Linked DNA regions of Xenopus tropicalis. The protein of the gene in region 1 purifies or fractionates together with the protein of each later gene. This does not show direct contact. Links are inferred from orthologs where the notes say so. Each region holds a gene or a part of one and is shown on either strand. Other genes may lie near its edges.

Region 1 (6,204 bases):
TACTATCTTTCCTGTGACCAATGTGACTCCACTAATGTGCAGGTCTGAATCGTCAGACATGGAGGTAGAATCAATAGGAATTCTACCTCTAGCTGATGATTCATCCTTAAACGCAGCTTTTGTCCTGCCTCATCAATCGACCATACATGCACTGAATATCGTACGAAACATGTTGCTCGCCAACCCCTTGGATGTTGCTCTCAGTGCCCCCAAACCAGTCAATTATTTTTGAATTCCTGACTTGGTGAAAAGTTTTGGTTGAATCAAAACAAGATGTACTACCAAATAAGCCCCATGTAAGCTGATAGTGTGCATAGAGGTTACCTAATAGCCAATCTTAGCCCTTATTTGAAACATCCATGAACTTTTATGATGCTCTTCAAGTCTTTTTACACTTGACTGTGGCTCACGAGTAAGTAAGGTTGGGGATCCCTGATAAAGGTTCTGACTGCTCTTTGCACCTAGCACCGGATTGGCTAACTGCAGAGCGCAGTAATGGCAGTCACAAATGACTCACAAGTTAGGAGGGAGGATACCTAAGGTGGTCCCCTTACCCGCATCTCCTTAAGGGGGGAACACAAGTGTCCGTCAGAGAGACCTGCAGCAATTTTTTAAAGTGCAGGAATTGGTGCAAAGCAGTGATGCACCAGAACTGATATATATATATACTGTATGTATGTATATATATATATATATATATATATATAAATATACATATATATATATATACTCTCCATAGAAGGCACTCATGGCATGCAGGCTATAAGAAGATTCTTTATTGGATGTCCAAATCTACGCGTTTCGATCTGCTGAGGATCACATAGATTTGGACATCCAATAAAGAATCTTCTTATAGCCTGCATACTGTAAGTGCCTTCGATGGAGAGAATATCATAAATGGTTTGCACCCGGCCTTTGACTGTATCGTGTGGTGAGTGCCGATAACTGGACTTATATACATATATACAGTACCAGTAAAGGTAGCACACCACCTAAAAAGGAGTCATTGCCTGGGTGGTTATGCAATCAAAATAACAAAATACAAATGCAATAAAGGCTAGCACTCACAGGACTTTGATAAGTATTTGTCAAAAATAAAAAAGTTTCACAAAACATTTTCCTTACATGGTTTTTATATATCCGACGTTTCAGTTCCTCACAGGAACTTTCTCCCTGAAGAAAGTTCATGTGAAGAACTGAAACGTTGGATAAATAAAAACCATGTAAGGAAAATGCTTTGTGAAACATTTTTATTTTTGACAAATACTTATCATTGCCTTTGAAAGAAAGGTGATGTGTGCCGACCACCTGCAGTCAGGCTGCCCCCCTACCACCCCGTCCCTGCTCCGTGATACTGACTGGGTATTCTGACTGCCCCAACAGGTAGCAGCCCTCAAAACTGAATTAACTTTTTGAAGTTGAAAAAAACTTGTTACAGTTAGGTCATAGATGATAGTTTGACACCCCCTCAGATCAGGTATATCGCTTGAAAAAGTAAGAACAAAAATATTATACTGTACTATATAATACTCAGTGCATCACAAATTGACAAAAGGTTGGCAAAACCCAAAAACCCCTTCACACCCATGGAGTTTGGAGGTACAACATAGATCCATAAGAGATGGAATGGATCTTTCCACGAATATGCCCACCTAACGTGGGCAATATAGGAGTAATCCGATTGTTTGGCCCTAGGGCCAGATATCAGTCAAATAGTGCAGTTGGGGGTCACCATACATGGGCAATTAGGGCCCTTTAAACTGATTTAGCAGCTTACCCGCCCATGTATGGGGACCCCCAACAGGCCTCCCCAACCTATATTTGGTCAACAATCGGGCAGATGCTGATCAGGCAGGCTTAATTTTTCTGTCGGATTGTGGAACACATCCGCTCATTGATGCAGTCCTCGCCCAGACTTTTGTATCCCCTTAATTGTAATTCAATTGTTTGGCCCTAGGGCAAAGTGATAACATTAGCACGATATCACCCTCCTAAAGCTGGCATATTGAGGGAAAGATGAGCGAATCTTACTCTTGGGCCATGCAGCGGCCTTTTTATGCATTACAGTATCTGCATCGGCCTTTTGGCTATATGATATGATAATGCAGTCAATATTTATTAATCATTATAATTTATATATAATTATATAATATATAATATATATAATATATTTATATATAATTATATAATAATAATAATTTATTAATCATGATATATAATGCTATATTGGGGAGGGGGGCTGTAATAGAGTAAGCAGATATTAAACTGCTAAGGGGCCTGGTATAGGGGTGAAGCACTGACTGTCACAATACATGTATAATAATAATAGTATAATAATGTCTTGATCATAAAGTTTAAAGGGGTTTTAACACGACTCTCTTGGTGCAATGTCACTTGTATATATCTCTTTAAAAAAAAGTAAAAGAAAGTGGGGTACTTTATTAAAAAACATTAAATATCTGGCTATTTGTCCAACACTGTAATTTTCGTTATAGAAATCAACTAGTAATTATCCAAACCTGATCAGTCAAAAGGCGAAAGAGCAGGAGAAGGGAAAGGTGGGGTAGAAGCCATGCCAGCAGTGTCCTGTAGGGGGCGCAAAATATAGCGTTATTAGCCAAGAGGTGTGGGCGTGGGTGTAGGACACTCCGAGTAAATCAGGATTTACACACCCTGCGCAGCTCTCTCTCTTCCACCGATCCAACAACTTCATCAAAGTTCGCCAGCCGGAAAGTGCCACCATGCCCGTCAAAGGGGGGATCAAGTGCATCAAATACCTTCTGTTTGCCTTCAACTTCATCTTCTGGGTGAGTTTCGGTCTGTAGGTTCTGCTGGGGGGACTCGGGTGTGGGAGAGTAGAAGGAGCCCTGGGCGGAAAGGCGTGTTTGGAGCTCGCAAAGGGATATAGTGCTGTAGCATTGCTGCCTGGGGCTCAGACTGGCTGTTAGTGATACATTTGTAACAGTATTAATGTTAGGGATTCGCTGTAGTACAGGTACACGTACAGTTATATATGGGCATAAGTATATACAGGTATAGGTTTATATGTGTATTGCTTGTAAAATCAGAAGAAAATGAGAAAATGCTTAAATATGGCTCAATGGGGGAAATATGATTTCCATATTTCAGAGTTTCTTGTTGTAAAGCTATGAGTTTTAATATTATCTTAGGTGGAGGGTGACTTTGGTGTTTGGGCAAGCTAATTAAAGACATTATGGCTAATGTCACACTAGGCTGTGTCTCTGCCTGCGTTTCTGTGCAGGCAGAGAAACAGCATAGTGTCACATAAGCCTTTCTACATGGTAGAACACATGGCAGGATAAATACAGTGCCAGTTCCCATATATATTACCCCAGAACACATGACAGGATAAATACAGTGCCATTTCCATATATATTACCCCAGAACACATGACAGGATACAGTGGCAGTTTTATTTCCCCCACAACACATGGCAGGATAAATACAATGCCAGCTCCATATATAATGCCCCAAAAATACATGGCGAATGTGGTGCCAACCTTGTGTATAATATCTCAATCCTATTTCTTGTAGTAAATGCGTTGGTGTTGGTTTGGGGAGGCTCAGGTTTCATTAAAATCTGCCCATCATTATTGTTAATGCATATTTATTAAGCCCTATCATATTTCCTAGGGCTGTACAGTAGGAGAGTGTACACATCAAACAACGTACAATGATCAGAGCTTATAATCTAAAATAAGACATACATGTGTATATCCGTATTCTTTTCTCTGTATAAACTGCTTAGTGGTGGATTGTGGAGGGTTAAACAGGATTGGGGAATGTTTACACTGAAAGCCTGCATGGGGTTTTGTAGGTTTTTTTTTGGTATAATAAATAACTCCTTCAGTGCTGGAGCAAATGCTTTTGGGCAGGGCAAGGTTCAGTGCCCCAGTGTTGACAAACAGCAGCAGCTTATATGGTGTAGCCCTGCTCGTGGTTTCAGTTCTGCAACAACTGAAGTATCTAAAGTTGTACTGTTACCTTAGGGTCACCACCATACACCAGATATGGCCCTAGTTATTATAGTCGTGCCTGACCACAAAAAATGCACTGTTATGGTATTAGAGTTGGCACCATACCCCTTTAAAACTGGACAGACAGTACCCATGCTGAATCGTGTATCAGCAATACATTTTCATGCGCAGAAACTGGTGCAGTCACAATGAGCTGTGAACTAACCATGAATTATATGGGTTTATATTGTGTCAGCTGGGATCCTACAGGAAAACATAGGTGTGGGGCTGCAGAATATGTGGGCATTATATTGATTCATTGAAATGTGATCCCATTATTAATTGATGCAAGGTGTTGGGGTGGAAGGTCCCTGCCCCTTTGGAGACAATCCATGCAACACCTGTGTAAATATTTGGCTTAAAGGCCCTGTTTTACTCTCCCAGATCAGCATTGAAGGCTATTTTTGCTACAGAGCTTGCTGTGTGCCAAGAGAAAGGCAGGAAGGATAGGGTTAAACATTAATATAAGTCACTCTTTTAGTGTGGTTTTTGGTATACCACCCCCCCCCCCCAACCCAACCTGCCAACTTCTCAGTTGCCTGTATGCACTGCACAGACAGAAAAAAACAGATGAAAGTCAGCTTAGGAGTGGCAGGGAATAGGTTAAACTGTTTTAGGCGCCCCATATTCTGATCCCTGGTTGCTGGCTCCCAGGGTGCTTAGAATTTGTCAACAAGTGGGACAGCGCTGAACCTTTAGAACATAATTGCCTGATAGACTATAAATGTATTTTCGGTTGTGCTTAATTACTTGGTTCATTGTTCCCTGTTAGCCCTAAAGTATTCAATGCCTTATGTACCCCAGGAGGGTTAAAGGCCCCACCTCCCGACATGTCCCATTATCATTATTTCATCTGGAAGAGTTAGTGGTGGATGCAGAGCAGGAAGGACAAGGAGCTGGTATAGGGTTGCCATCTTTTCTGAAAAAAAAAAATACCGGCCTACTATATATATATATATATATATATATATATATATATATATATATATATATATATATATATTACTTCCCTATTAATAACTTTGGAATCAAGCATAATTTTTACCATCCAGGCTGGTAAAATACCAGACAGATTGCAACCCTAAGCTGGTCTACTGATGTGCTTGTGTGCATAGTATCATAAACATATTTTACACATTAATAGGAATTGTAACCCCCTTTTTCCCATAAATAGTAACTAACATTAGTTCTGGCCCTGCATACATGCCTGTGGTCTAATACTATAGTCAGCCAAGGCAAGCCCCTGCCCAGCGAGGGAAAGCAGGGGGGCGGAGCTGCAGGAAGCCAAACTAGGGGTACTACAGCACTACTGTTGCACCCTGTTACAGCCATGGATAGCGGAAGGCATAAGCCTGCTGGATTGTCTTTTTGGGGTGATCAACTATAATCTGTTGGGATTAGTGCCTTAACAAAAACATTTTCTGGGCCTTACCCCCAATTTATAAAGTTGTGTGTTGCCAAAAACTGCCCTTCGAAGCACCCCCTGGGCCCCACAGTCACAGATTCTTCCCCTTAAGTAGTCTGCCACTAAATAGGATTGCATGATGGTCAGTCCAAGTTAAGCCCCCTGCTTTAATATCGAATGAAAGTTGACTGGTTTAGTGAAAATTAATAACTAGCGTGAGCCTTTATGTAATGGAGTCACATTTGTATGAGCGTCAGCACTCCCATGGATTCTAGAGACGTCTAACTTTCGGTTCTTTTGGCATGTGATATCACTTGGAGGGAACTGGATTGTTTCCCACCCCTGATCATCAGTTTAAGGCACTTGCTGCCTCCTTACCAGGCCTGCTGCCCTTCAGTCAGAAGGAACTTACATCGGAAGCTTCAGATAACTGAACCCACCCTCCCTGATTCAGTTCAGTGACCTAACCCCTGAGACATACTTCCCCAAAATGTTCTTTGCTTGCAAAAGGGCAACTTTAGAATGTGTTTTGAATGATGTGCAGTGCTTTGACACAAAAGCAGGGCTGGTGTATCAGTTTAAAAAGGCTGCAGACCTATGCCAATAAATATACTCACCTCCACACTATCTCTGTACTCTACTGTCAAGGTAGACCCCCTTGTATGTTGTTGCTTACTGTTGTAACTACACAGGCCATGCGAACATAGAAATCGTTCAAGGCCTTTGGGAGATATTATGTTCATAGTGTTGTTCAAGTTCAAGT
Region 2 (5,936 bases), on another chromosome or scaffold:
GTATTACTCACTGAGGGACAGGGGGGTAGGGGGTAATTAGGGGTATTACTCACTGAGGGACAGGGGGTAAGGGGGTAATTATGGGTATTACTCACTGAGGGACAAGGGGGGTAGGGGGTAATTAGGGGTATTACTCACTGAGGGACAGGGGGGTAGGGGGTAATTATGGGGTATTACTCACTGAGGGACAGGGGGGTAATTATGGGGTATTACTCCACTGAGGGACAGGGGGGTAGGGGGGTATTATGGGGTATTACTCACTGAGGGACAGGGGGGTAGGGGGGTAATTATGGGGTATTACTCACTGAGGGACAGGGGGGTAGGGGGTAATTAGGGGTATTACTCACTGAGGGACAGGGGGGTAGGGGGTAATTAGGGGTATTACTCACTGAGGGACAGGGGGGTAGGGGGTAATTAGGGGTATTACTCACTGAGGGACAGGGGGGTAGGGGGTAATTAGGGGTATTACTCACTGAGGGACAGGGGGGTAGGGGGTAATTAGGGGTATTACTCACTGAGGGACAGGGGGGTAGGGGGTAATTAGGGGTATTACTCACTGAGGGACAGGGGGGTAGGGGGTAATTAGGGTATTACTCACTGAGGGACAGGGGGGTAGGGGGTAATTAGGGGTATTACTCACTGAGGGACAGGGGGGTAGGGGGTAATTAGGGGTATTACTCACTGAGGGACAGGGGGGTAGGGGGGTAATTAGGGGTATTACTCACTTGAGGGACAGGGGGGTAGGGGGTAATTAGGGGTATTACTCACTGAGGGACAGGGGGGTAGGGGGTAATTAGGGGTATTACCCCTGAGGGACAGGGGGGTAGGGGGGTAATTAGGGGTATTACTCCACTGAGGGACCAGGGGGGTAGGGGGTAATTATGGGGTATTACTCACTGAGGGGGGGGACAGGGGGGGTAGGGGGTAATTAATGGGGTATTACCACTGAGGGACAGGGGGGTAGGGGGGTAATTAGGGGTATTACTCACTGAGGGACAGGGGGGTAGGGGGGTACATTAGGGGTATTACTCACTGAGGGACAGGGGGGTAGGGGGTAATAGGGGTATTACTCACTGAGGGACAGGGGGGTAGGGGGTAATTTAGGGGGTTATTACCCTTCCACTTGAGGGACAGGGGGGTAGGGGGTAATTAGGGGGTATTAACCACTGGAGGGAGCAGGGGGGTAGGGGGTAATTAGGGGTATTACTCACTGAGCGACAGGGGGGTAATTAGGGGTATTACTCCACTGAGGGACAGGGGGGTAGGGGGGTACTTAGGGGTATTACTCACGAGGGACAGGGGGGTAATTAGGGGTATTACTCACTGAGGGACAGGGGGGTTAGGGGGTAATTAGGGGTATTACTCACTGAGGGACAGGGGGGTAATTAGGGGTATTACTCACTGAGGGACAGGGGGGTAGGGGGTAATTAGGGGTATTACTCACTGAGGGACAGGGGGGGTAATTAGGGGTATTACTCACTGAGGGACAGGGGGGTAGGGGGGTAATTAGGGGTATTACTCACTGAGGGACAGGGGGGGTAATTAGGGGTATTACTCACTGAGGGACAGGGGGGTAGGGGGTAATTAGGGGTATTACTCACTGAGGGACAGGGGGGTAGGGGGTAATTAGGGGTATTACTCACTGAGGGACAGGGGGGTAGGGGGTAATTATGGGGTATTACTCACTGAGGGACAGGGGGGTAGGGGGTAATTAGGGGTATTACTCACTGAGGGACAGGGGGGTAATTAAGGGTATTACTCACTGAGGGACAGGGGGGTAGGGGGGTAATTAGGGGTATTACTCACTGAGGGACAGGGGGGTAATTAGGGGTATTACTTCACTGAGGGACAGGGGGTAGGGGGTAATTAGGGGTATTACTCACTGAGGGACAGGGGGGTAATTAGGGGTATTACTCACTGAGGGACAGGGGGGTAGGGGGTAATTAGGGTATTACTCACTGAGGGACAGGGGGGTAATTAGGGGTATTACTCACTGAGGGACAGGGGGGTAGGGGGTAATTAGGGGTATTACTCACTGAGGGACAGGGGTAATTAGGGGTATTACTCACTGAGGGACAGGGGGTAGGGGGTAATTAGGGGTATTACTCACTGAGGGACAGGGGGGTAGGGGGTAATTAGGGGTATTACTCACTGAGGGACAGGGGGGTAATTAGGGGTATTACTCACTGAGGGACAGGGGGGTAGGGGGTAATTAGGGGTATTACTCACTGAGGGACAGGGGGGTAGGGGGTAATTAGGGGTATTACTCACTGAGGGACAGGGGGGTAGGGGGTAATTAGGGGTATTACTCACTGAGGGACAGGGGGTAGGGGTAATTATGGGTATTACTCACTGAGGGACAGGGGGGTAGGGGGTAATTAGGGGTATTACTCACTGAGGGACAGGGGGGTAATTAGGGGTATTACTCACTGAGGGACAGGGGGGTAGGGGGGTAATTAGGGGTATTACTCACTGAGGGACAGGGGGGTAATTAGGGGTATTACTCACTGAGGGACAGGGGGGTAGGGGGTAATTAGGGGTATTACTCACTGAGGGACAGGGGGGTAATTAGGGGTATTACTCACTGAGGGACAGGGGGGTAGGGGTAATTAGGGGTATTACTCACTGAGGGACAGGGGGGTAATTAGGGGTATTACTCACTGAGGGACAGGGGGGTAGGGGGTAATTAGGGGTATTACTCACTGAGGGACAGGGGGGTAATTAGGGGTATTACTCACTGAGGGACAGGGGGGTAGGGGGTAATTAGGGGTATTACTCACTGAGGGACAGGGGGGTAGGGGGTAATTAGGGGTATTACTCACTGAGGGACAGGGGGGTAATTAGGGGTATTACTCACTGAGGGACAGGGGGGTAGGGGGGTAATTAGGGGTATTACTCACTGAGGGACAGGGGGGTAGGGGGGTAATTAGGGGTATTACTCACTGAGGGACAGGGGGGTAGGGGGGTAATTAGGGGTATTACTCACTGAGGGACAGGGGGGTAGGGGGGTAATTAGGGGTATTACTCACTGAGGGACAGGGGGGTAGGGGGTAATTATGGGGTATTACTCACTGAGGGACAGGGGGGTAGGGGGGTAATTAGGGGTATTACTCACTGAGGGACAGGGGGGTAGGGGGTAATTAGGGGTATTACTCACTGAGGGACAGGGGGGTAGGGGGGTAATTAGGGGTATTACTCACTGAGGGACAGGGGGGTAGGGGGGTAATTAGGGGTATTACTCACTGAGGGACAGGGGGGTAATTAGGGGTATTACTCACTGAGGGACAGGGGGGTAGGGGGGTAATTAGGGGTATTACTCACTGAGGGACAGGGGGGTAATTAGGGGTATTACTCACTGAGGGACAGGGGGGTAGGGGGGTAAGTCCCAGGAGAGGGAGAGGGACTGACCCACAGAGCTTACACTCTAAGGACACACAAAGAGGGATAGGCTCCTCCTACTCGCCCCTGGGTCCCGCCCCCACAAAGTGACCAAGTGCAGGGAAGTTAATGGGGATCAGACACTAATGCTCCCGCCAGGCCCGCTGTTACAGTACGGGGCAAGAGACAGAGCGGTGGGTCGGGGGCGGGGCTCGGTACTTACCGGCACGGAGGAGGAGGAGGAAGAAGTAGAAGAGGAACAGCCGCCCCGGTAGCCGCATGGTCACTCCGAGCTTTCCCCTCACTCTCTGTGGGACGCTACCAGCTGGGGCGGGGCCTCTGGCGCTACTACTGCCCGCCCCTTCCCCGCACCCCTCCCTTCTACTACATTACGTCACCCACTCCAGGTGCTCATGTCACCTGTCCGTAACACCCAATCAGCGCACTGCCCCGCCCCATCACTGGCGGATGTGCCCTTACGGAAGGTTTGAGCGAAGGAATGCGGGGATTTCAGCTGTGTTTTAGTTGTTCTGTGGCTCACACACTAGTGTCTTACCCTGCCCCCTAGTGGGCCCTCTCTGTGCTTTCATTCCTACCCACAATCCCCTGTCTTACCCCCACTCTGGGCTTCATTCCTACCCACAATCCCCTGTCTTACCCCCACTCTGGGCTTCATTCCTACCCACAATCCCCTGTCTTACCCCTACTCTGGGCTTCATTCCTACCCACAATCCCCTGTCTTACCCCCACTCTGGGCTTCATTCCTACCCACAATCCCCTGTCTTACCCCCACTCTGGGCTTCATTCCTACCCACAATCCCCTGTCTTACCCCTACTCTGGGCTTCATTCCTACCCACAATCCCCTGTCTTACCCCTACTCTGTGCTTTCATTCCTACCCACAATCCCCTGTCTTACCCCCACTCTGGGCTTCATTCTACCACAATCCCCTGTCTTACCCCTACTCTGGGCTTCATTCCTACCCACAATCCCCTGTCTTACCCCTACTCTGGGCTTCATTCCTACCCACAATCCCCTGTCTTACCCCTACTCTGGGCTTCATTCCTACCCACAATCCCCTGTCTTACCCCTACTCTGGGCTTCATTCCTACCCACAATCCCCTGTCTTACCCCTACTCTGGGCTTCATTCCTACCCACAATCCCCTGTCTTACCCCTACTCTGGGCTTCATTCCTACCCACAATCCCCTGTCTTACCCCTACTCTGGGCTTCATTCCTAACCCACAATCCCCTGTCTTAACCCCTACTCTGGCTTCATTCCTACCCACAATCCCCTGTCTTACCCCTACTCTGGGCTTCATTCCTACCACAATCCCCTGTCTTACCCCTACTCTGGGCTTCATTCCTACCACAATCCCCTGTCTTACCCCTACTCTGGGCTTCATTCCTACCCCACAATCCCCTGTCTTACCCCTACTCTGTGCTTTCATTCCTACCCACAATCCCCTGTCTTACCCCCACTCTGGCTTCATTCCTACCCACAATCCCCTGTCTTACCCCTACTCTGGGCTTCATTCCTACCCACAATCCCCTGTCTTACCCCTACTCTGGGCTTCATTCCTACCCACAATCCCCTGTCTTACCCCTACTCTGGGCTTCATTCCTACCCACAATCCCCTGTCTTACCCCCACTCTGGGCTTCATTCCTACCCACAATCCCCTGTCTTACCCCTACTCTGGGCTTCATTCCCTACCCACAATCCCCTGTCTTACCCCTACTCTGGGCTTCATTCCTACCCACAATCCCCTGTCTTACCCCCACTCTGGCTTCATTCCTACCCACAATCCCCTGTCTTACCCCCACTCTGGGCTTCATTCCTACCCACAATCCCTGTCTTACCCCTACTCTGGGCTTCATTCCTACCCACAATCCCCTGTCTTACCCCCACTCTGGGCCTTCATTCCTACCCACAATCCCCTGTCTTACCCTACTCTGGGCTTCATTCCTACCCCACAATCCCCTGTCTTACCCCTACTCTGGGCTTCATTCCTACCCACAATCCCCTGTCTTACCCCTACTTGGGCTCATTCTACCCAACCCCTGTTTACCCCTACTCTGGGCTTCATTCCTACCCACAATCCCCTGTCTTACCCCTACTCTGGGCTTCATTCCTACCCACAATCCCCTGTCTTACCCCTACTCTGGGCTTCATTCTACCCACAATCCCCTGTCTTACCCTATCTGGGCTTCATTCCTACCCACAATCCCCTGTCTTACCCCTACTCTGGGCTTCATTCCTACCACAATCCCTGTCTTACCCCCCTCTGGGCTTCATTCCTACCCCACAATCCCCTGTCTTACCCCTACTCTGGGCTTCATTCCTACCCACAATCCCTGTCTTACCCCTACTCTGGCTTCATTCCTACCCACAATCCCCTGTCTTACCCCTACTCTGGGCTTCATTCCTACCCACAATCCCCTGTCTTACCCCTACTCTGGGCTTCATTCCTACCCACAATCCCCTGTCTTACCCCTACTCTGGGCTTCATTCCTACCCACAATCCCCTGTCTTACCCCTACTCTGGGCTTCATTCCTA
Region 3 (5,476 bases), on another chromosome or scaffold:
CATAACATCATTCCAATTTCCCTGTTGATTTATATAGACATAAATGGCGCCTCCTATTTCTCTGTCATTTTTATCAAAATATTGGGGAGCACCAACAACAATATCCTTCCACCTGAGAAAAAAAAAAAGAAAAACATTTACCAGGACTGTCGTTACAAAAGTAAAGCACTGTTAATAACTTTCTGTGTATGATTACATGCATACAGTAATTAAGGGCTAATGGAATTTGTGTCAACATGAACCATTTTAATGCAATGGGTTAATGGGTTCTTTTCCTGTTCATGTCAATTCACTGCACTTATTAAGTTTGATCACTAGAGGGCACAGAGAATCCACATTTGCAGTTAAGATAGTAGAAGAGGCCCCTCAGTTACTGGAGGTTAGGGGAATGTCCTGAGAAGATCTAAATGAGGGATAATATACTAAAGCTGTTAAGCTGATCTAACCTGGGAAGCTAACTAACGCCAAGGGAATATACCTCAGTAGTGGTTCCTAAGTGAGAGTCAAAACTTTATCAGTACTTCTGACTAGTCAAGCCAGCAAGCTACTGCAGTGCTCATGTTAGAGGGTGGGCGTAAGGAACAAGCCGAATAGCAAAGGACCCTATCAATACGAGACCACAAAGCCAGCGATAGTGAAATCCCTATAAGCTGCTCCCGGTGGAGACTTTTTAATGTTTGCTGGATGGCCTGATCACCCTGGTATGGAATGAGGTCTCTTTGAGGACGAATATGCAGGTTTGAGTGAGGAGGCAACCATTGACGGTCTACTATGAACACAGGCATTTACAAATTAAATGGCTAATGGTGGTTGCCTCTGCCACCTATGTTTGATACCTGCCAGGTTTATCTGAATGACTAGTATGACTAGTATGACTGTACTAGTTATACAGGTACCTGTATGACTTCATGCCAGTTTTGGTAAATAAAAGCGAGTGGAGGACTGGTATCTTTCCCAGTGGCAACACTAAAAACACCCCACTGATGGCTGTGCATGGGTGCAAATGAATAGACAATAGCACCAAGCTTCCTTAGTAAACCAGTCACAGTGTATCTCATTGTCAGGTAACAGGGTTTTTCTGCAAGAGCTTGAGATTACTGGTTGAAATGACTTTTCTCATTTTAACATTAAGAATCCACTGGATCTTCTAAACACCTTCTTCACAGTCAGGAGAAAGACTGCAACAATCAATGCATTATCAAAGCAGAGGGGTTTGTCAATTGAGAATACATTTTTTTGCTTCAATGATACACCCAACTGTATCAACACTAACCAAAAATGAAAAAGTTAATAGCGGGAAAGACAATTTGAAAAACAAATTTGCACAATTGGGAAACAGCTCTTTTGCACACTGTAACCTAGAATTTAAGAGAGAAAGGGAAAAATCTAACTGGATTTTAATAAATAATATAGCTATATCCTTCATAAACTGGCCTCTACGTGTTTCAGGGTCTGTGCCTCTCAGGCGCACATCCATAGCCCTAACAGCCGTATGCACAGGAAGGATATGAGCCTGACCTGGAGATTAAAATAAAAGCAGATCTGTGGAACAGTGTCAGAGAAAAGAATTTGTGCAATTCACTTTGTGTTTCCTGACAAATTCTTATCTGTGTTTCTTTTTCTTAACACCATTAACAGAGTGCGGGGATAATGACAACTGAAAGGCGGTGGCACAGAAGAACATGAATCACTTGCCTGACAGCTCATGTTGGTAACACATGACCAATAAGTGATAATATCAGTAAGCCACACTTTGCTGTTTTTGTGCTCACACAATTGAATAAAAAGTAACCATTTGAGCACACGCGGCCAACAGGAAATTGGAGAAACACTGCCCAGGCACATAACAAGTCTTGCTTGAAATCACAAGTCTCTGGCATAGGTACTGACAGAACTACCATTGAGCTTTCATGGCTTATACACAAGCAGCCTTACCCATCTCTATTAAGATCGACCACCGCTACATCATAACCAAAGGAAGACGCCAGCCCTTCTCCTTGAAATGTATGTACAGCAGACAACATCCTCTCATTGGGTGGAAACTTTTGCAGCAGGACTACAGCCCCACTGTGATTGGCTCGCGGGGCTCCAGAAACAAAAGTCATTTCTTCCTTGGACGTTATCCCTCGCCCGGTATCCAAAGAAAATCCTACAAATTAAAGCCAGAGAAGACTGGAATAAGATAAATCTCACTTCGCTTTATGATGGTCTGCAGCTTAAAGGGATCATTATTTACAATACTACGTTTTACTCCTATAATTAAAATTAATATCACCAGCACTGTAAACTTGTTAAACCAGTCTCTGCAGTCTCACTCAGAAATCAGCCCAGTAGTCTTAAGCATCCCTTGATCTCATATTCTTGTTGGTGTCATTGCTGGGGGGGTGGAAGTGGACCAGATGGAGACTGATCCAGAATGAGATTCAAAATAGTACCTGGCATTTCAAGTAAAGAGAGGTCCAAACAGGCCCCACCAGGATCAATAAATATTGGTTGTCTGTGGCATCTTATGGCAGCTACTCTGGCATTTGCCAGAATCTATAGATTGCTCCAAGCTTTAATGGAGAAAGTAGCCCTTTTTATCATGTCTCTGCAACACCGCTTTGGTGATGTCAAAGACTGGCAGAAAGAGAACCTGAACAGCTAGCTTTGCACAACTGATATGGCTAAAGTCAATTAATTTTATTCAATGACCTGTTTTAGAAAACTATTTACTAAAGTAAAAATATTCTTCCTATTTTGGGAGTATCTACAGAACTGGGTTAAAAATTAGGGTAATGATGCTGATAATAATCCCTTTAAGTAAATACAATTAACATGCAATAAATGAACATGGTGTCTTCATTACCAGAAAGGAGCCACTCTGTTGTAGACACGTGTCTCTCAATAACATCATTTATAAGAAATAACTCAGTGCATGCATTTTGATGATACCATGCTGCTATACCAGGGATAAGTCACCTAAAGCCCCCCAGATTTGCTGAAGGACATCTGGAGCCACAGGTGTCCCATGTCTGGAGCAACACCAAGATGGAGGCTGCAAAAATGTAAAGGAATGGAGCAAATATATTTATGCCATGTATAAACTTAATTTTGCCTATGTGTTTCAAGGTACAACTAAATATGGGGTGAATTAAGTAGGAGAATATTAACAGATGTGTATATGCTTGAATTATTTTCAGTTAACCTATGCAAACAGATATAACATGGCTTAGTTTTGAGAGATTTAATATACAGTATTCTCCAATAGGATTTTAGTATTTGTTGTCTAAGTGACCATGAAACACATGTACACTAAATACGAAAAGCAGGAATATCTCCCTCCTGATATTGTGGAGATGAAACTGACAGGGGTGATGCTGGGTATGGTATTTCAATTCTATTTACGCTATTACATGTATGTAGAAATGCATCATGGGATGAGCACGCAGGAAGTGTGAGTGGCCAGAATGGTTTGCCAGTGATGCCACAGGTGACGTATCAATGGAAAGAGTTTCTGCAGCCAGTTACCACCAACCTAGGTAGCTATTAGTCATCACATCAACGGTTTTCTCCGACCTGGCTCTGGGGGGCCCAGATTTGTACAAAAACTGGTCTGGATCAGTATTGGACATGGTTGTCATGAACAGAAGGCCTATACGTACGTATGAAGTCCCAGAAGAAAGAGAAAGCAGATAGAGAGACAGCAAGGTTACGGAAACACAGACACAAGCCAGTCCTTGATGACATTATTAGAGCAACCCAGTGATACAAAGTACAACTGTCCAATGCTAGAAATGTAAATGTGTTCCTCCTGCTTCTGAATTCCAACTCACAGTATCCCTACTCTTACAGGGTGCTGGGATTTGTAGCTCAATAAGAAATGGAAGGCTGCTGATTAAACTACAGTCTTGCAGTTTGTTCCAAAAGGGCTTTGTAGCCTCAGACTATTATTACCTAAGTAACTGTTATCTGGTGCAGGAACTAAATCTGAATCTCGTTTGTTTTCACCACCAGTTTCATAAGGTCCATCTTCAAAAATAAACAAGTCTTCTAAAGTGTTATTTTTTTGTTCTGCCCGGACCACTCCTAAAGGATGAAATGAAAAATTATAAATAAAAATAAAGAAAGACACTGGAAATGAGTGAAAAGGAGTAGTTCACCTTTAAAATACCTTTAAAGGAACAGTAACACCAAAAAATGAAATTGTTTTAAAGTAATAAAAATATTATTTACTGTTGCCCTGCACTGGTGAAACTAGTATGTTTGCTAAAGAATCGCAACCATAGTTTATATAAATACCCTGCTGTGTAGCCATGGGGGCAGCCATTCAAGCTGGAAAAAAGGAGAAAAGGCACAGGTATTATCTGTTATCCGCTAATTAACCTGTGGCATTCCTCCTTTGAATGGCTGCCCCCGTGGCTACACAGCAGCTTTGTTTATATAAACTATAGTAGTGTTTCTGAGGCAAACACACCAGTTGCACCAGCACAAGGCAACAGTACATTATACTATAATTACTTTTATACATGTTCATATTTTGGTGTTCCTTTAAGTATGATATAAACAGTAATATTAAGGAGGTTGCTAGGGTCCACTTTACCCTAGGAACCATGTAATGGTTTGACTGAAATACTGAAAGATGCATAAAAGAGGGCCTGAGTAGACATAAATGTACTAAAAAGTAACAATACCAAATTATATACAGTATAAAACAAAATAATAGCCTCACAGAGCTGGGTCAGTGACTCCTATTTCAAAGCTGCAGAGTGGCAGAAGAAGAAGCAAATTATTAAATAACTGTAAAAAATTAAGACCAGTTAAAGTTACTAAGAACAGTACATTCTACAACATATAAAAATAACTTAAAGGTGAACTACCCCTTTAAAAAGTGCACAACTCAATACATGAAAATAATGTAAAAGGGCAGTGAATCACATGATGTATGGAAGCAAAATGCAGAGATTAACTTCAAATCACTTCTAATTAAAGGCAATAATATCTGGGTCCATTTTGACCCCAGAATTCTGTAACTGCTCAGAGGTGATTTAAGGCCCCGCTTGGGGTACAATGTAATAAGAGGTGAACAGTTTGCCAGATTCACTAACCCATATGAAATGCTTGTTTGCTAATAACAGACTAGATGCTGAGCAATCTTTCCTCCTGTTATTAACGGCCCTTATTCCTTTGCCTTCCATATAACACCACTCACCACAGTGAGAATGACGAACTGTTATTTTAAATGCATAAATAAAGACTTAAATGGACATTGGACTACAAATGCTGTGTACAAAACATGGATAAAATAAGGATAACATGAGAAATGACATGCTGCCCAAGTGACTTGAATAGTTAAGAGTACTCCTAATTGTTCATCCTGTCACATAAAAACATGAGACTGTATATCCTGTCATCTTACGTGTCCTATAAAATCTCATTCCCTATTGGGTCAACAGTATACTAATATTGAGTTATGTTCAAAATGGTGTCACAACTG

What was found.
Region 2: the proteins of cd9 (region 1) and ptgfrn purify together in Homo sapiens (co-immunoprecipitation; 8 studies listed by BioGRID and IntAct, with this or other methods). This does not show direct contact. The link is inferred for Xenopus tropicalis from reciprocal best matches to the Homo sapiens genes CD9 and PTGFRN.
Region 3: the proteins of cd9 (region 1) and itga6 purify together in Homo sapiens (co-immunoprecipitation; 3 studies listed by BioGRID and IntAct, with this or other methods). This does not show direct contact. The link is inferred for Xenopus tropicalis from reciprocal best matches to the Homo sapiens genes CD9 and ITGA6.

What each region holds. Positions count from the first base shown.
Region 1 is NC_030679.2:18,569,253-18,575,456, reverse strand, and holds the start of cd9 (CD9 antigen), read left to right. Parts: upstream 1-2,693; 5' UTR 2,694-2,741; coding exon 2,742-2,807; intron 2,808-6,204. UniProt on the Homo sapiens protein: Integral membrane protein associated with integrins, which regulates different processes, such as sperm-egg fusion, platelet activation and aggregation, and cell adhesion.
Region 2 is NC_030678.2:431,114-437,049, forward strand, and holds the start of ptgfrn (prostaglandin F2 receptor negative regulator), read right to left. Parts: upstream 3,898-5,936; 5' UTR 3,660-3,897; coding exon 3,602-3,659; intron 1-3,601. UniProt on the Homo sapiens protein: Inhibits the binding of prostaglandin F2-alpha (PGF2-alpha) to its specific FP receptor, by decreasing the receptor number rather than the affinity constant. Functional coupling with the prostaglandin F2-alpha receptor seems to occur.
Region 3 is NC_030685.2:67,285,405-67,290,880, forward strand, and holds part of itga6 (integrin alpha-6), read right to left. Parts: intron 4,069-5,476; coding exon 3,937-4,068; intron 2,150-3,936; coding exon 1,936-2,149; intron 113-1,935; coding exon 1-112. UniProt on the Homo sapiens protein: Integrin alpha-6/beta-1 (ITGA6:ITGB1) is a receptor for laminin on platelets. Integrin alpha-6/beta-1 (ITGA6:ITGB1) is present in oocytes and is involved in sperm-egg fusion.